Linked DNA regions of Cricetulus griseus. The protein of the gene in region 1 purifies or fractionates together with the protein of each later gene. This does not show direct contact. Links are inferred from orthologs where the notes say so. Each region holds a gene or a part of one and is shown on either strand. Other genes may lie near its edges.

Evidence for each region.
Region 2: the proteins of Psma7 (region 1) and Pomp purify together in Homo sapiens (co-immunoprecipitation; 4 studies listed by BioGRID and IntAct, with this or other methods). This does not show direct contact. The link is inferred for Cricetulus griseus from reciprocal best matches to the Homo sapiens genes PSMA7 and POMP.
Region 3: the proteins of Psma7 (region 1) and Psmg3 purify together in Homo sapiens (affinity purification with mass spectrometry; 3 studies listed by BioGRID and IntAct, with this or other methods). This does not show direct contact. The link is inferred for Cricetulus griseus from reciprocal best matches to the Homo sapiens genes PSMA7 and PSMG3.

The regions. Positions count from the first base shown.
Region 1 is NC_048599.1:1,891,261-1,897,686, reverse strand, and holds the start of Psma7 (proteasome subunit alpha type-7), read right to left. Parts: upstream 3,975-6,426; 5' UTR 3,880-3,974; coding exon 3,784-3,879; intron 1-3,783. Other genes in the region: calcium-responsive transactivator, read left to right, coding at 4,360-4,428.
Region 2 is NC_048597.1:83,721,467-83,727,892, reverse strand, and holds the start of Pomp (proteasome maturation protein), read right to left. Parts: upstream 3,335-6,426; 5' UTR 3,205-3,334; coding exon 3,202-3,204; intron 1,582-3,201; coding exon 1,484-1,581; intron 1-1,483. UniProt on the Homo sapiens protein: Molecular chaperone essential for the assembly of standard proteasomes and immunoproteasomes. Degraded after completion of proteasome maturation. Mediates the association of 20S preproteasome with the endoplasmic reticulum.
Region 3 is NC_048597.1:76,465,968-76,472,393, forward strand, and holds Psmg3 (proteasome assembly chaperone 3), read right to left. Parts: upstream 3,398-6,426; 5' UTR 3,234-3,397; intron 2,882-3,233; 5' UTR 2,861-2,881; coding exon 2,645-2,860; intron 602-2,644; coding exon 449-601; 3' UTR 123-448; downstream 1-122. UniProt on the Homo sapiens protein: Chaperone protein which promotes assembly of the 20S proteasome. May cooperate with PSMG1-PSMG2 heterodimers to orchestrate the correct assembly of proteasomes.

The DNA.
Region 1 (6,426 bases):
TAGAGAAAGCCTGTCTTGAAAAAAAAACATACATACATACACACACACACATATATACACATAAGCAGGACAGCTGTTCATCTCTGGCACAGCAGAGTGGAAAGGCTTAGGGCAAGAAGGTACCCCCACCCATTTCTGGCCTATCACTTGACACACTGTACCACACCAAGGACATAGATCTCCTCCTGTGGACTAGGATAAGTTACCGGGACCCGAGTGTCTGATCTCATGCCTTTAAAACACTACAACGGTCACAGCTGTAACACAGCTAAACAGTCCTGCACAAGACCCCAAGGCCTAATAAACCACTGCATCAGATAGATGCTGGAAAACTGAACTCCAATTGGCCCCAGGCTACCACCACGCCTGCTCACACTACACATACTGCTGGTAGGTCCTAGTGTGTTACAAAGTGAGCCACTACCCATTAATTTAACACACCAGTCCCTGATTATGCTGGGTATTGTAGAAGGGGGTGGGGGGGGAGTGGCCGCTGTTTAAACAAATGAAATTGGGCTGTGGATGTAGATGGTGCTTGCCTAGCATCCAAACTCAAACCAAACCAAACACAATAAACCCAGGACCTACCTCATTGATATTTAACCCTTTAGCAAGGGAGGAACAGAAGCAGATGCAGCAATTCCTGAACAAGGCAGTTGGGCACAGAGGGCACAACTAGTTGGCAGCTCACTCTGATGTGGGCAGCACCCCCCCCCCCACCAATGCAGGAACCTTTGGTGATCCTACCAAGGGAGATCCTACCAAGGGAGAAGCTATGTCTGAACCACCCCTGGTCTGGAGTGATTTTTACAAGGTCCTTCTGTGCTGACTCATGTGACCTGCAGGGTCCAGAGAAATTAGCTGGGTGTAACAGGCACCTCCAGATTCCAGAGCTTTCCTATGGTTGTGTATGGTTATGTCCCTTAGCATACGGAGGCCAGAGGTTCATAACGGTGTCTTCCTCCATTTCTTCTCCAACTTCAAAAGTGGTTTAAGTGTGTGTGTGTGTGTGTGTGTGTGTGTGCGCGCGCGCGCGCGCGCATGCTCTCGAACCTGCCCATGGAAGTCAGTGATGCTGAACTCCCGGGAGCTAGAATTCAAGGCAGTTTTGACCTTACAACCTGGGCGCTGAAAACTTATCTCGGTCCTCTGCTTGCACCCTTTTAGCTGCTGCAACGTCTCTCCAGCCCCTCCAAACTTAACGTTTTTCGAGACCCTGAACCTGAACTCAGATTGTGCTACACTTGCTGACCAGCAAGCCAATAGCACCCCTCCAGTCTCTGCCTCCTAAGAGCTGGGATGCCATTGTGTGAAGCTGCTTTTAAGAAAATAAAAACAAAGCCGGGCATTGGTGGCGCACGCCTTTAATCCCAGCACTCGGGAGGCAGAGGCAGGTGGATTTCTGTGAGTTCGAGGCCAGCCTGGTCTCCAGAGCAAGTGCCAGGTCAGGCTCCAAAGCTACACAGAGAAACCCTGTCTCGGAAAAACCAAAAAAACATAACAAAAAAAAAGTGGGTAGGTGGATGTTTCGGAATATTTGTTTATGCTGTAAAGAAGTGTCTTTGCCTAAGGCGTTGGCGTTTTCTAATGACTTTAATAAAGAGCTAAATGGCCAATAGCTAGGCAGGAGAGAACAGGAGAGACTTCTGGGCAGAGAGAGAGACTGGAAGAAGGAATCTAGGCACACATGATTTTGTGCAGTACTAAGAGGCAACTGAGCCACGTGGCAGAATGTAGACTAAAAAAATTATATGGGTTAATTAAGTTATGAGAGCTACCTGCGAACAAGCCTAAGATAAGGCCAAGCTTTCATTATTAACAAGTCTCCATGTCCTTTGTGGGCCAGCAATCCCAACTAGAAAGTACTGCTACATTTGTGGGGCACCAAATGATGTCTTTCCATCAGCTTAGGGGTTGGCACATGAATCTACAGGTATTTTAATTATTGTCTACAGCCCCACTGCCCACATTATGCACCCCATTGGCCACACCTCACAGGGCTTCTGCTCCTGCACCCTGGCTCTGTTACAGTCACCATATGTAGGTTTAAATTAAGTTTCCAGTCGGGTGTTGGTGGCCCACGCCTTTAATCCCAGCACTCGGGAGACAGAGGCAGGCGTTTCTCTGTGAGTTCGAGACCAGCCTGGTCTACAAGAGCTAGTTCCAGGACAGCCTCCAAAGCCACAGAGAAACCCTGTCTCAAAAAAGAAAACAAAAAAACAAAAAAAAACAAACAAACAAAAAATGCAACACATAGATTAAGTTTCTATTTATGTATCTATTTATAGGCTGGGATGAAAACCTGCTAGCTCAGGGAGGCTGAGGCACAACTAACTGACCTTGCTTTATGGCAGGATACACCTCAAGAGGGGCATATCTTCCCTCCTCCCAGAACCAAAATGAAGCTCAAACTCTAGTTCTGGCTTTCCCCTTTCCTTACTGTATGTCTTCTGTATCGAAATTGCTTGCTTCTCTATGGCTGGCTCTACCCCCTGATTCAAAGTAAACTTTATCGACAGTCTAGAGTGTCACAGTGTGACCAGGTCTTGATGCTTGTAAGAGCAAGCCCTTCACCAACTTAGTCGTCTCACCAGCCTCACAAGTTTTTGTTGTTGTTCTTTGTTTGTTTTTCCCTGAGACAGGGTTTCTTTGTAGCTTTGGAGCCTATCCAGGAACTCGCTCTGTAGACCACGGTGGTCTCAAAATCACAGAGATCCTCCTGTCTCTGCCTCCAGAACGCTGGGATTAAAGGTGTGCACCACCACTGCACAGCTGTCTCTTGGGGCTGGAGAGAGGGCTCAGGTTTAAGAGGACCCGGGTTCAATTGCCAGCACCAACAAGGCAGTTCCAGTATCTATCCAGTTCCAAGGGATGTGACACCCTCACACAGACATACATGTAGGCACAAACGCCAATGCACATAAAGAGGAGTCAATAACTCATACATACATACATACATACATACATACATACATACATACATACATACATAGAGATTCTCTTCTAGAAGCCCAGGCTGGCTTTGAATTTGAGATTTTCGGGTCTCAACCTTCCCAATGCCGGGATTACAGGCCTGGGCCTCCAAGCCTGCTCACTCTAGTTTTTTGGGGGTGGGTTAAGTCACCAAAAGATTTGGGACTTTACTTTCAAAGCGATTAAATACTCGGGAAATGCAAGCGCTTCGAGTCTCAGAACCACGTGTCTTTCCCAAAGACCCAGTGACTCAGGAAAAAGAAAAACGCAGAACTCTCTCACTGCTGACGCTTGCAGGTGTCGGGCGGTCCCATTTCCAAATGGCGCTAAGGTCCCCGAGCAAATCCCGGGACGCGGCGAGAGGCCCACCGGAACCAGAATACAGCGTCGGTGGAGCAGGCGAACCCGGAAGCAGTCGGTCCCCGTCGCAGGGCCGCCCTTTGTTCACCAACGCCCGTCTGGCCTAGCCGGGAGGTCCCCAAGTCCCCGCCGGCGCCGACTCTCAGCCCCCCACCTCCCGCGCGCACCTGCGGCCTCCGTCGTCCGCGCCGCGCCGCGCCAACAGCACCAAGATGGCCCCGGCCGGGCGCGCGATGCGCTCCCCGTGACGCTCTGCAGCGGGCAAGCCGGCTCTCCAGGGAGCATGGCGCAGTCCCCGCGGCCCGGCTTCCTTCCTAGGTCGCCACCCTTCGGCTCCCGTCACCTCCCGGGCCACCCGCCGCAAGCAGAACGCGGGGGCCCCGCTCCCGGGTCTGCGAGCCCTGCTTCCCCGTGCGCCCTGCCGCGCAGGCCCCGCTCGGGCCGGCTCACCGCAGTGGAGCCCTTCTTGACCGCCTCCTGCGCGTACTCCACTTGGAAGAGGTGGCCGTCGGGCGAGAAGACGGTGATGGCGCGGTCGTAGCTCATCCCGGCGGACGCGCGAGCTAGGGCCGCCGCCGCCGCCGCTCAAAAGCGCACACTCACCGCTTGCGCCCGCCCGCCGGCCGTCTCGGGCCACGCTGCTGGCGTCCGCGGCGTCTGGCGTCAGGGGGACGTGCGGCGCGGCGGGGCGGGGCGCGCGGGCGGAGCGGGCAGGGGCGGGGCGCGGCGGGGCGGGCGCAACCACCGAAGCCCGGCACAGGGGCGGCGCGGCGGCGGCCGGCTGGACGCAGAGCGCAGGCGGCACAGCGGCGGACTCGGCGCGGGGTCCAGTCCCGGAAGGCGGTGGCTTAAGGCGCAGGGACGCGGGAGGCCCGGGCGCGCGTCGGCGGCAGGCGGGCGGGCGAGCCCACGGCACGGCATCCCCCGCGCCCCCGCCCCCGCGCTGCGGAGAATGGGCACCTCGGGCCGCGGGGCGCAGCCGGAGAATAAACCCGAATGATCACGGGCTGAGTCCGCGCCGCCACCATGTCCGTGGCCTTCGCGTCGGCGCGGCCGAGAGGCAAAGGGGAGGTCACACAGCAGACCATCCAGAAGGTGGGCAGGGCCGCGGGGGTGCGGAGCGAGGGTGCGCGCGGGGCGCGAACAAAGCCAGGGCACAGCCGGGCCGCAGGAGCCCTGACGGCGGCCCCGCGCGCCCCCAGGAGAGCCTGCGCCAACTTTGCCGGAGGCGCCGGCAGCGGGGGCCCGGCGGCCGCAGGGGGTGGCCACCCCGGAGCGCGTCGCGCGGTGTCCTCTGAGAGCGCCCCTGTCAGCCGACGCAGCAGTGCGGGACGCCGGGGCCCGCGGCCCCTCCAGCCGGGGCGGGGGCTGGTCGCGCTCCGCTGACAGCCCTGGTGGCGTCGGTCGCGCGCCTCTGCGCGCAGCTTGGCGAATGGAGAAGGGGGCGCGGGCTGCCTGGTGGCGCGCCGCTGCGGCGAGCTGACCGGTGTCGTAGGTATTGCGGTCCCCGGCACAAAGGGACGCATCCAAAGTGTGCGTGCCTTCCCCACGGCCCGCAGCGGGCTCCCGAGCTCGCTGCAGGCGGGTGGACCTGAGGCCAGCGCAGCCCCGCCCCCGCGCGGGTCACTGGGCATCGGCGGGCCCCGCTGCCTGCACCCAGACTTCGGAGATTTCGTCCTGCAGTCTCGGTCCCATCCTTTATTCGGGCTACTGTTTTCCAAAGAAGGCGTTTGCATGGGTTTGGGGACATATTTAACAAAAGCTTTAAGTTTTGACATGAACACTTTAGCATTTTACTGGTTGTCTTTCGGTCTGAACATCTTTCCTACGCTCTGGCTTTTCTCAGTTCGGGTTCCTTCTACAGAATTTCCGAATTCCCTTGAGCCGGTTAGGTCCCCAAGGGCCTTGGCATTTTAGGCCCTCATAACCTGAGGGGCTTGTGGGTATTTACTCAGCTTGTCACCTGTTTCCCAGCTCACCCTTGCTGTATTCCGCCTCTTTGGAATATAATGATTGTCGAAATCAGCAAGCTTTGGTGAGCTTTGGGCAGGAGAGATTATTGGAGCAGAGCAGAAATTCGGATTTTCCAGTGTGGTTTTTGTATTAACCTTTTGAGAGCTGTGGGATGCGATGGTGTTTCTAGGCTTGATAGCTCTTGTCACATTTAACTTTTTTGAGGTGACTTGGGGAAGGAAACTGAGGCTGCAGAGGCTCAGTGGTAGAGGGAGTCGCAGCAGCAGCTCGTCCATGATCGCTCCAGGGGCTGCTGTCCCTGCGGCCATGGGTTGGGAGCCTTGTTTGATGGAGGGTGAAGCACAGTACACACATTGGAAGGCCCGACAGTGCCCTAGCCCTCTGGCTGCTGGAGCTTCACAGTCACCGTTCTCAGAGCCACCTTTGGCTTCGTTGCTTGTCCAGAATTTTGTAGTCACACCTGCTCATCGAAGAGCCTCAGTTTCTCCAGGCTAAAGTGTGTTGGAGATCCACCCCAAACATCAGATCACCAAGAGGGGAAATTTGCTGGCCTCAGTCTGGGGCAGAAACAGCCTGTACGTCTTCAATTCATCCTGTTAAGGTACTTGACCTGGTAGATCCAGCAGTCCACTTACTGCCTCTGTGGGTCCTTTAGTGTAGAGTCTTAAGTAGGCTTGAGGGGAGTGTGTCTTATACTTCACACATGTACTTTGACCTAGTTTGGTGATGTACCCCTGGGATCACATTCCAGAGCGAAGACTGGAAAGTTTAAGGACAGCCTGAAGCTACATGGCAAGTTCAAGGGTAGCCCAAGCTGTAAAGCAAGACCCTGTATCAAGCCAAGGGCAGACCTCTGGCCTAGTATTCCCCAAACCCTAAACTCCACCCCGAGTGTGCATGCATACTCCGTGCACAGTCATTGTGTGCTAACCTGCCCATGCTAAGATCACTGGGGAAGGCCAGGGTGCCTGAGAGCTCTGGGGGAGGGTGAAAGCAAAGGAAGGAACAGTGTGTTCTCAGAGTGACAAGTCCTGCTCAACCTTCAAAGTCCCACACAAATGTCCCCTCCTAATCTTCTCTCATCAGTCACAAGGCCACTGTAGGACTTTGAGGTATTGT
Region 2 (6,426 bases), on another chromosome or scaffold:
TCACCATTTCCCCTCCCCTAATTTCTCCCAGGCCCCCATCACCTCCCTACCCACCCAAATCCACACCCTTTCTTTTTTTTTTCTCATTAGAAAACAAACAGACAGGGCTAGAGAGATGGTTCAACCGTTAAAGGCTAGGCTCACAACCAAAAATGTAAGAAAACAAATAGGTAACTAATAATAATAAACACATTAAAACAAACAAACCAGAATTGGACAAAAAACAGAAAAAAAAGAGCCAAAGAAAAAGCGTAAGGTCTACATACAGACACAGTGACACACACATTTGCACACACAGAAATCCCATAAAAACCAGAAATCATAATATATAAGCAAAAGGCCTGTAAGGTTTAAAAAAAAAAAACGCCCAGACAAAGCATTAAGAAGCAAACAAACAAACAAAAAACCCTCCGAAGTCATAACTTTGTGTGGTTAAGTGTGGTCTGTATACACTCCTACTCCACAGAAGAAAACTCCTTTTTCCTCTGTGAGAGGTTATTAACTGGAGATAGCTTCCAAGTTAGGGATGGGGTTTGTCTACTTGTCTTAGCACTGGGCCCCCATGCATGCTCTGTGCATATTGCCAGTCTCTGGGAGTTCTTATGTTGCATCAGTCCTGCTGTGTATAGAAGGCTTGTTTCCTTGGTGAACACCATACTTTTTTTTACTTTTTTTTTTGGTTTTTTGAGACAGGGTTTCTCTGTATTGCTTTGGAGGCTATCCAGGAACTCACTCTGTAGATCAGGCTGCCTCAAACTCACAGAGATCCACCTGCCTCTGCCTCCCGAGTGCTGGGATTAAAGGTATGAGCCACCAACACCGGGCAATACACGATACTTTCTTAAGAGAAACTTGTGTGTGCATGTGCACACAGTTAGTGCACATGTAGATCAGAAGTTAACATTGGTGTTTCCTTTGTTGCTCTCCACCTTATATTCTGAGGCAGGGTCTCTCTCTGGACAAGAGATCATCAGTTGGCTAGGCTGACCTTACTTTCACACGGGCGTTGGGGATCCAAACTCAAGTCATACTTGCCAGGTCCAGTGTTGATCATCCTAACGGCTATACTCTAGTGTCTCCCAAAGAAAAGTTAATTACTCCAGCAGTTAGTAAAGTAAGAAAGTCAATGGCTCTCTGAGTTATGAGCAGTAAGAATCTCACTAAATCAAGGCCTAGGGCTACCTGTATCTCAGTGGTAGTGTGCTTGCCTCCCATTATGTGACATCTTAGGTTCAGCCATCAGTGCTAGCCCCCTCACTATAAAACCCCACAGAGTCTTCCAATCACCCTACAAGGTGTGTGCACTAGGAGGACGCCCCGCTCTTACTCTGTGGGCCTCTTCCTCACCACACTCCATCTGAGTGTATAACTCACTACAGCCCAAATCCAACACACATTTATAGCAATTCAAAAAGAGGACCTTGAAAAGAAGCCACAAGAAGCATTTCATTAGGGCAAGGCACAGCCACAACTCCCCACATACCCTTTCCGGAGAAGGTCATGACTCTCGAAGGGCCCGCTTGCTGAGAGCTCTGTCACTGGAATACTGTCCTTCAGCTGCGACCCAAGGCCTCTGGCATTCTACAACACAAAGTCAGCATGGCAGTTAAAGGAGACAGAAGATAAGGGCTGTGCCCTCAAGGAGCCCTGGATCTGCACAGACAGAGCCTAAGTACTGTGGTAGCCAGCATACAAGGTACAGTGAGTAATACCACACTTGGGGGAGAAGAACTGGCCCTCTCTGACTTCTGAATGTGTCTGCAGGGAAAGCATTTTATTTAAAAAAAAAAGATATGAATACAAAAACAAACTAAAACCATCTGAGACCAACTAACATATTAATGAAGCGGCAAAATTCAAAGATGCCCTAAAACTGACAAGTCTTGGAAGGTTTATGGCAAGATCAATAAGATTCACTTCACTGGAAAGAGACTGCCCTTAGGTTTAATGCAAAGAAATGAAAGATTTAACACAACAAAAAGGCTGAGAATGGAACACTGGGGAACACCAATCCTTTAGGACAGATCTATGGAAAATAAAAGACATGGAATTAAGTCATGACACCTAGGGAAATGAGGTTATAGGAACCAAGAGAAAGGGGGAGTGGTTGGTTACCAGAAGTAAAAATAAATGCAGCTAATTGAGATATCATAAAAAGCTGGACTGTGGTGGCACGTGCCTTTACACTCAGGAGGCAGAGACAGGTGGATCTTGTGAGTTCAAGGCCAGCCTAGTCTACAGACTCCAATGCTACACAGAGAAACCCTGTCTGGAAAAACCGAGAGAGGAGGAGGAGAAGAGGAGAGAGAGAGAGAGAGAGAGAGGGAGGGAGGGAGGGAGGGAGGGAGGGAGGGAGGGAGGGAGACCCCTGTAAAAAGTTTAAAAGCAGCCTCTGGAACTGATACGGTCACCCTATGTGTAACATCCCTATCTTCTCGGGTACAGAAAAATGCAAGCCAGTGGGTAACCATCTTTGCAATGTCCTTCTGTAAAATATCTGGACTCCTTAAGGTTCTAGTCCAGTGTCAGTTAAATTAAGTCCACAAAGACCTAAAACCATCCTCATTTCGGAGTGTTTCTCACACTCCTTTACAATGGTTCGCGGTATTTGCCAACACAAGCTTTCTGGATGTGGGCAGATGGGGCTGCAAGGAGTGCTTGTATCAGGTCCGTGCCATGGTGACTCAGGAGTTCTGCTCAAAGAGAAACAGAAAGTGGCAAAGGAGGAAAGGCCAGAAGGGGGAGAGAGGGAGTCCCAGCACTAACCCATGCAGACAAACCGGGAGCAACACATGGCGCAGGGAGAGAGATGTTTGTAAACCGAGACTGAATTGTATAAATGCAAGCCTGCGGTCGTGGCCAGAGCTTGGGGCTGTAGACTCCAGTCACCCGAGGGAGCGGGAGAGTGGCGGTATCCCAACACCCACACAAGGCTCGGCTTTCTGAGGTGCACTGGGCGTCCGCGCCAACTACCGGGAAGGGACGCGCAGGCCTGGGTTGCCCCGGGGACCGAAGCGCGCGGTCCTGCGGGAACCAGCACTACCCGAGAGCGCGCAGCCGGCGTCATGCCCACGCCGGACACCCTTCGGGAGCGCGCAGCCAGGCTCATCCTCGAACCAGATACCCGCCGGGACCGCGCAGCCGTGGTCGTGCCCGCGCCACGGACACACGCCGCGATCACGGTCGCTCGCGTTCACTCACCATCTTGGAAACAGCTCTGCGAAAGCCTCTCAGCCCGCTATAGTCGGCCGGCCAAGCTGCTCACTTCCGTTTCCGGGGCCGACCCACCCATATCCGCCGGAAGTGCGTCCGTCCGGCCAGGAAGGAAAGAGGGCGTGGGAGGGGTAGGGAGTCTCTCTGTGCCTGGGCTCCCACGCTTGCGATCCCGGGGGAGCGAGGGACAAGGGCACCGCCAGGGTGTGTGCTGGGCCTGGACTCGCGTGGACGGTTTTAGATAGGCGTGTGCAGATGCTTAGACTTCCCACGGGCCATGCCAGGAGGTCTAGGGCGAGATTTGCATAAAGTTCTGCTGACGACGCAAAACTCGGACAAGAGGCTTTTACATCTTTATAAGTCGAAGATTCGAGGCTTGGTGCATGTGGAACCCAAAGGAAGGAGCGAGCTTGGTTACTGAACTACAGCCGAAGGAGGACTCCGGGGATTGGGGGATGTGGGTGTTATTGAACTTGGGGGAGGTCATAACCTTTGTCCCTAGTCAGGTCGGGCCATCCGTCCTCAGTAAGCCAATTGAAAGCGGAAGGCAGAAAAGAGATATTTAATATTTAGTCCATGTGGGTGCACAGAGAAGATGACAAAGATTTGGGGGCTCCTTGAGACTAAATCCTTTTTTCAATAAAATGGGTGTAAGTGTGTAGCAATTTAAGTCAGTGATGCTGCACGTGAGTCATTTCCCTAAATCTTTCCATTAAACTTAGTAATTTCTTAAAATGTGTTTTGTTTGACTGTATGTGTGTGCCCGGTGCCCTCACGCTCCTTTACGAGGTCTAGAGGTATCTGCCAACACAAGTCTGGGAATCTCCTGGAAGTAGAGTTTCAGACAGATGGTTGTGAGTCACCCTGTGGGCGCTGGGAACGGAAACAAGCCCTCCGTGAGAGCAACAGGTGCTGTTAACCATTGAGCCATCCTTCCATGACCCTTGGCTCACATTTTGAGAGGCCAGTGCAGCATGGAGGACAAGGCTAGAGCAGGTCTCTTTTGGGGGAACAATGAGACAGCTGGTCACTTTGATAGAGAGAGGAACACTGTTGTTCTCTTGCTTTCACCTGGGACTGGAGCCCAAGAGATGGTGGCTCTCCAATTCTGGGTACATAATTTTTAATTAAACGGTGGAGATGACCTCACAGATGTGCCCAGACTGTGTCTCCTAGGTCAGTGGTTCTCAACCTTCCTAACACTTCGACCCTTTAATACAGTTCCTCATGTTGTGGTGACCCCCATCATAAAATTAGTTTGTTACTTCTTCATAACTGCATTTTTTGCTACTGTTATGAATTGTACTGTAGATATCTGATATGTGACTTCCCCAGTGGGGTTGAGATCCCCATATTGAGAACCATTGTTAGGTGATTAAATCCTCTCAAGTTGGCAATCAAAATTAACCAATGTAGGCCTGGGTGGGCTTTGTAGTTATGAGCATTTGTTGCACTTCCAGAAGACCCAGGTTCATTTCCCATCACCCAGGTCAGTGGCTCACAGCCGCCTGTAACTCTAGTTCCCAGGGATTTCATGCCCTCTTCAGGCACTGCACTCATGTACACAGACACATATGCATACATAAAGATCAATTTTAAACAGGCTGACCATCACAATGCCAGTATTGCTTTGATCCTATGAGCTCGTTATTAAGTATTCTCTACACTACACTGCATTTAAGATCACTGCATGTATATCTGTTTATGGAACTGGATCGATGGCTCAGAGATTAAGAGCGCTGGCAGCTCTTTCAGAGATCTTGAGTTCAATTCCCAGCAACTGCATGGGGACTCACAACCATCAGTGATAAGATCTGGTGCCCTTTTCTGGCATGTAGGCATTCATGCTGGCAGAATACTGTATACATAATAAATAAATATTTTTTAAAGATCTGTATTTACATGTCTGTGCCCCCAGGAAAATTCTAGCATCTTATGTATAAGGAAATTCCTTTTATCCTTATAGTTTCATTCTCTAGTACTGAAAGAAAAAATGCTCAGCAAATATTAGGCTTGAATTTATATCACTCAGTGTGTGTGGTCAACAAATATTAAATGACTATGTTTTTGAGACAAGGTTTCAGTTGCCCACAAGCTCACTGTGTATCTGAGTGTTAAGTGTACACTCTTAGTCCTCCTGTCTCTGTCTCCTGAATCTGGAATTACAGTCATGGGTCATGGTGCCCTCAATTTTTTCTTCAGCTACAGTTTTAGGGCAGGAGAAATGAATGATGTCATGAACCACATGGTGACCATTGCTGCTTGATATTGTTCCAGCATTTCAACATTGCGGACCACACTTATCCAGCACCCTTTTTACTTTCGTTTCTAATGATTCACAATATTTTATGCCTTTTCCTTTGGGAAATTTTGTGCAGGCTTTGTTAAAGAATAAAAATGTGTACAATGGTAGCCTCTCTAAACAAAATAATTCTTTGGGAAAAAGTCCCCACCACTGTGAAACCAGAGTCCTATTGTGTCTTCCTAATTACACCAAGAACAGGAAAGTTAGAGGTTTACCTGAACCCAAGGATGAAATGCCTACACTTCAGATCCAGAGCCTGGGGCCATTAAGGGCAAGAGTTAATAAATACAGAGAAACCAAAATGGTATGGTATAACAGAAAAGAGTAAGACACCAGGACCTTCCCTTTTGGGAGTGCATGAGGGGAACAGACCCATAAAGTAAGACTAGGAAACTGTAGTCTGGTGTCTGCTCCCCAGAAGAAGTCCTTTTCCAAAGTCAGGCTTTTGGATAAGGGTCTCCATTCCCTGGGGGCTTGAGGAAAGTTCCTGCTTGTAAAGCTGCCGTTCATGTCTTTAACAAGAGGAACTTATGGCTGGTGCCTATTGTCAAGGTCAATGCTAACTTCCTGGATCCTTGATCTTAAACCACACCCCAGCTTGAATGCCCCTTTTCGCCCATTTAATCCTATGTGCAATAAAAGGTGGAGAATTTTTTCAATCAATCGATGCTGGCAGCCATCTGATTCACCCTCAGATTGTCCCTCTGCTCCTTCTCCTCAGCCCCCCACCCATTGACTCCACACAACCTCTTTGGGACCTGAACCCCTGAAAAGCAGGTCTTTGGCAGAATGACCCTCAAGTAAAGAGCACTAGCTACTCTTCCCAAAGATCTGTGTTCACTTTTTAGCACCCACATGGTGGCTCACAAACATCTGTAAATCCAGTTTCAGTGGCATCTAACACCCTC
Region 3 (6,426 bases), on another chromosome or scaffold:
GGATCTACCTCATACACCAGCAACCGTGTACTGTGCTTTTGCTAAACAGGTTTTCCTCCCACCTCAGGTGCCCTGAAGCTTGACACATGACCACAATGTCTCAGCATTATTGACAAGACTAGCCAAGTATTTTATTTTTTTAATAAAAAAAAAAAAAAGTATCCCCACAAGTGCTGCTGCACACCTAGGGCTGCCAGTCCCCAAAACTGGCTGATGGTTTCCACTCAGCAGGTGCCTCTGCTGCAGCCCAGAACCGTTTCCAGTGCCCCAGGTGGAACACAGCAGTCACACAGTGAGAGTCCCCTGAGATCTGCATGTTATTTCCAGCTTCAAGGGCTAAAGCCAGAGAATGAGTCTCCACTTGACTGTCCTGGCACTCGAAAGAAGGGTCTCACAGATCCTGCTGAGCGTCCGCCAGATCCCACTGTCATGCCCTGCTGACTGCAGGTCACCACACCTGGCATGTCCGGATCACCTCCTTCAAGGCCTTCAGCCCCTCCATGCTCTTGTCCTTCACAGCCATGGCCAGGAGGACAGCTCTGTTTCCTGCTTCTTGAGACACAAACGATACCAGGTTCTTCGCAAAGACATGGATGAGAGGCTGGGGAGGGGGGGAAGACAGGACCATGACTGCAGGAAACCTCACTTTTTTTTTTTTTTTAAGACAGTTTGTCAACTGTCTTTAACTCAGGCTAGCTTGGGATTCATATAGCTTAGGTTATTGAACTCATGGCGATCTTACTTACTTAGCCTCCTGAGTGCTAGGATTCCAGGCATATGCTATCATATCCAGTTTGTTTTTTTAAAAAAGAGTGTGCATGTGTGTGGGCTTGAGGAGACCTGAAGACAACCCCAGGTATCAGCCGTAGAACACCATCATCTACTTTGAGACGAGGTCTCATTGACCTGGAATTCTCCAGACTGCATGGCCAGCAAGCCCCAGAATCCTTCTGTCTCTGAGGCTGGCTTAGCCTCCCTAGTGCTAGGATCAAAGGCACTCACCACCAAGCTTTTTTATGTGAATTCAGAGGATCGAACTCAGGCCATGCTTGCAAGGACTTTAGGAATTGAGCTATTTCCTCAGTCTCCACTCCATCCATCCATCCTTTATTTATTTGTGAGGCAAGAATTCACTGTATAGCCCTGGTTGATCTGGAACTTGCTATGTAGACCAGGCCTACTTTCATCTCCTAAGTGTTAAGATTAAAGATGTGCACTGATACATAGAGCTATTTAGTCTCCACTTAATATATATAGTGTATATATGAGAGAGTACAACTTGTGGCAGTTAGTTCTTTCCTTCCACTGTGGGTTCAGGGAGCTGAACACAGGCTTGCACGCCAAGTGCCTTTACTCCTGAGTTATCTCAACATTCCCTGCATTTTAAATAGAGGGTCTCATGTAGCTCACATTGCCCTTATATAGCTGTAATAACCAGCCTGGAACAGAGGGAGTTTCAGGACAGCCAGAGGTACACAGAGAAACCCTATTTCTAAAAACAAAAAACCAAAAAATAACAACAAAAAAGGAGAAACTGAACCCCTGGTCCTCTTGTTCCTACCTCCCAAGTGCTGGAACCACACTGTACCAAGTGGCTTTTGGGTTTTTTGTTTGTATTTTTTCTTTTGTTGTTGGAAACTCCTGGAACTCACTATGTAGACCTTGAACTGGAAGAGACCCACCCGCCTCTGCCTCCTAAGTGCTGGGATTAAAGGCGTGCACCACCACCCCTCCAATTTTCTTTTAATATATTTATTTGTCTTTATGTATATGGATGTTTTGCCTGACTATATGACTGTGTACCATATACATACCCACAGAGGAAGGTGCTGAATCTTCTAGGACTGGAGTTACAGATGGTTGTGAGCCACCATGTGGGTGCTGGGAATCAAACCCAGGTTCTTTGGAAGAACAGTCAGTGCTCTTATCTGCTGAACCTTGTCTCCAGCCCTGGTTTTTGTTTTCTTAAGGGGGAAAGGAGGATCTATCCCCAGCTGGCCTCGAACTCATTGCATAGCTCAGTCTGATCATAAACTTGCAGCAACCCTTCTGCTCCAGTCTACCAAGTGAGAGGATTACAGGCCTGCACAACCACACCCAGCTCAAACACTGTTTCCCGATGCTCTCCTTAAGCACCCATCATGGATCCAGACCAGCTTCCCACACCTTCCCTAAGTCACCTCCAGGGAAGCCAAGACAACAGTTATTCGAAGGGCTCAGTGGACTGCACACCGCAGATATAACAAACAGCTGACGAGGCATCATTAGGATTTTTCCCCCTTGGTGCCTCTGCATACCATCTCTCTGGTTATCCCTAATCCAGATAGACATGCATACAAAGGGGAATGCTGTCAAGACTGAAGAAGCAGACGTAAACATCAAGCCTTCATTAACATAAAGCCATCACGACGGGTCAAACTGAGGAGATGGCTGTGTCACAAAATCAATAGCTCCACTGAGTGTTGAGTAAAAATGCTGACACGATGGGAAAAGCATCACTAGGGGCAGCCAGGGCACCCTCAGATCTGAAAGGTCTGGAGAATGCTGACTGTGTCCTTGGGTGTGTATGGAGGGGTCCTTATCAGACACCCATGTCCTTATGGAAAAATGACGCCAGCAAAGATTGTTCTCCCAACCCCTTTACCTCGTCCTGCCCGAGGAGGACTTTTGTGGTGAGCACTGGCTTGCTGATGTCATTGGCCACGCTGCTGGGCTCCAAGGAGACTAGTGTACCCATCTTCCCGAACTGGGTCACCACAACCAAAATGTGGCTGCTGAAGGCCGTGCAGATCACCTGGGTGGGCACACCGCAAACTACTTCTGTCTTCTGTTTCGAAAATACCAACGGTTTGTCTTCCATGGTCCCGTTCTTCAGTGGAGGCTTCAATTTTAAAGAAAAGGAAAAAGGGAGGGAGCAGTCAGAGTCAGATATAACCTGTAGCTACAAAGCAGAAATGCCAAGCAGGCCATTCCAAGCTGCAAGCGGTGGCACATGCCTATCATCCCAGCACAAGGGAGGCCGAGACTGGAGGACCCCCAAGTTCGAGGCCAGCCTTGGTTACAAGGGAGAGACGCTATTCTAATACCCTGCCTCAACTCAAAACCAAGTGTGCGCATGTTCAGACAGGCTTCTGTTAGTTTCTGTTTTTTTGTCCAGCCGCACCGCCTGTGATTACTGCCCCACCTGTCGCCTGCTTGTAGATACAAGGGGGAATGGAAAACGCCAAGCTCACCGGGGAACCCCGACCGCGCAGGGCTGGGAACGGTTGGGACACTATTGACTACAGCCGGTCCGAAACCCGCAGCCACAGCGCTCACTGCATCAACCGCGCCAAACATGAATGTCAATGAACAATGTAGCCCGCTTTCACTTAGCGCGGGCCGAGAACTTCCGCTTCCGGTCCTTGGTCCGGTCCGTGGGTCTCCGCAGTTCCACAGCCTTAGGTTCCGTGTTGTAAAGGAGACGCCAGGCTTCCTGTTAAAGGGACACTGTGCCTCTGGGTCTAGGAGCTTCAAGATTCCTTGGGCGGTGCTTGGACTCCAGTGTCGGGGCTTTGTGTCTCAGCTGTGGAGTGGGATGGCAGTAATGGTTACTATTTCTTTTTGTTTGTTTGTTTTTGTTGTTTTTCGAGACAGGGCTTCTCTGTGTAGCCAGGCTGGCCTGGAACTCAGAGATTTGCCTGCTTCTGCCTCCCAAGTGCTGGGATTAAAGGCATGGGTCACCACCTCCCGGTTTATATATATATTTTTCTCATTTGGTGTATACCTGGCTTTGGCTAAGGCACACTCTATCATCCATGCATCCATCCATCCATCTAGTTTTATTTGTTGGTTTGTTTTTTCGAGACAGTGTATCTTTATGTAGCCCTGGTTATTGGGGAACTCACTATGTAGACCAGACTGGCCTCGAATTTACAGGAACCTGCCTGCCTTTGCCTTCAGAGTTCTGGGATTATTTTCTTCTTTTTTTGAGACAGGTTCTCAAGTAGCCTAGGTTGGCCAAGGATGCTCTTGAACCCCTGATTCTCCTACTTCCACCTTCCACATGCTGGGATGACAGACACATACCACTATGCATGGTTTATGTGGTGTGGAGATAAAAATCCAGGAGTTTGGCGTTGGTGCCATACATCCAACTTTAATCCCAGCACTCTGGAGGCAGAGGTAGGCAGATCTCTGTGAGTTTGAGGGTGGCCTGGTCTATAGAATGAACTCCAGGACAGCCAGGGCTACAAAGAAAAACCCTGTCTCAAAAAAAAAAAAAAAAAAAAACAAAAAAAAACAAAAACAAAACAAACAAACAAAAAAAACCCCCCAAAAACAAACAAAAAGCCCCAGGAGTTTGTGCAAGCATTCAAGCTGAGCTAAGTTACAATTTAATGTTTTTCCTCCTTCTCTTCATTTTTCATTTCCTTCCTTCTTTTCTTTTGGGTTTTGAGGAACAAATCTATTCATTTACGTTAGGTACTGCTCATCTTACAGAATTAAAAACAATAAACACCATTTTTCAAAATTTGTATGAATATTTTTGCCTGCCTCAATGTATGTGTACCATGTGAATGCAGTAACCCCCGAGGCCGGAAGAAGGCATTGGATTCCCTGGAACTGGAGTTACAGACAGTTGTGGGCTGCCATGTAGGTGCTGGGAACCAAACCTGGTCATTTGCAAGAGCAGCCAGTGCTCTTAACTTTGAGCCATTAAATTAAAACAATTTTTCTTGTAAGTATAGATTGAAAATTGAGCATATTCCCTTTATTCCTATTACCTGCCCCTTCCCCCCTCCTGTTAGTCCTCTCCATTTTCCTAAACAAATTAATTTCTTTAATTTAACACGCACACACACACACACACACACACACACACACACACACACACTCCCAGTGACTATGTAAAATCTAGGAACAACAAATGAGAGAAAACACAGCATCTGTCTTTCTGAGACTGGCTTAATTTGTTTAACATGATTATCTCCAGCTTCATCTATTTTCAAGAATGTTGACCTCGTTTTGTTTTTTTTTTTTGTGCACATATGTGTGGAGGTCAGAGGTCAATTTAGGAGGTACTGTATCTCGGTAGCTGTATACCCACCTTTTTTCTGTTCTGCCTCCCCCCGCCCCCAATTGAGACAGGATCTCACTATGTAGCCTTGGCTGGCCTGAAACTCATTGTGTAGATGAGGCTGGTCTCAGACTCCGAGATTCACCTGCCTCTGCTGGGGTTAAAGGTGTGTGCTACCACACCTGGCTACACCTTGCTTCTTGAGCTTGGTAGGGTCTTTCACTGGTCTAGAGATCACTAATTAGGTTAGGCTGACTGTTAGCAAGCCCAGGGAAATGCCTATCTCCAGCTCCCCAGCGCTGGCATTACAGGCTGTACTAGATCTCCAGGCTTTTAAATATGGCTTCTGGCAATGGAACTTTGGTTTTTGTGATTGCAAGGTGAGAGCTTCACCAACAGCCATCTTCTTAGCCCCACCCATTCTTCTTTATGGCTGAAGCTCCACTGTGTGTATACTTCTATTTTCCTTACCCATTTCTTTGTTGTTGCATGCCTAGATCATTTCATCTTCACAGCTCCCTTAGAAACATCATGAGCCCCCTTTGAAAATAGAATGTTCAAAGTGTGGTTTGACCCCACCCTGACCTTCCCTGATGTTCAGCTTAAAGCCTGACTCCATTCCCTGACCCTTGCTGAAGATACTTGAGCCTGGGCCACTGACACTCACCAGGTCCCAGCTAATGCCTGAAACCTCTGATCTTCACTGAGGCTTATGGGAAGGGTGAGTTTTGCATCCAAACCAGAAAGCTCCACTGTCTCCCTGCGGGAGGTTTCACTGACTGGGAAAATTGTGGGCAGATACTAAGAGAAATCGCAGCCTTGAGACCCTTTCCCAGAGGTCGATAGCCCTGGAAACCCCACCTCTGAAGCTTTTCAATGTATTCTGCTGACTGTCCTAAAAAAGCCACGCTTCTGCTTACACACTAAAGTCCTTAGACAGCTCAGGCATTCTTCTCAACAATTTCACTCCTTCCTTCCTTGAGTTAATGACTCCTTATCCAAGCTCCGTCGAGTCGTATGAAGCTTGCTTCCAAAATGATTTCTTGGTGGTGTGAAAGAAAAGGCATGCATACAAAGCATGATGGGAATAGACGCAGATCGAGAGGAAACTCGTTTCTGAGCATTCTTGCAGTTGGCACGTGAAGAGGGGAAGATTAGGGTTTCATGGCACTAATACTCAAGAAGCAAGGAGCGTATAGATTTCTCAGCAAAGTCTTTTTGTCGGTTCTAAATTTAAACACACATCCGCCCACACACCGCAAAAGCAAATTGCTGGCGTGTTGCTTTGCCTAGAGAAATCTTCAAAAGCTTTTGATCCACCTTGTTATTCGTTCTCTTTCAGAGACAGAGGTCCAGGAACTCTGCCT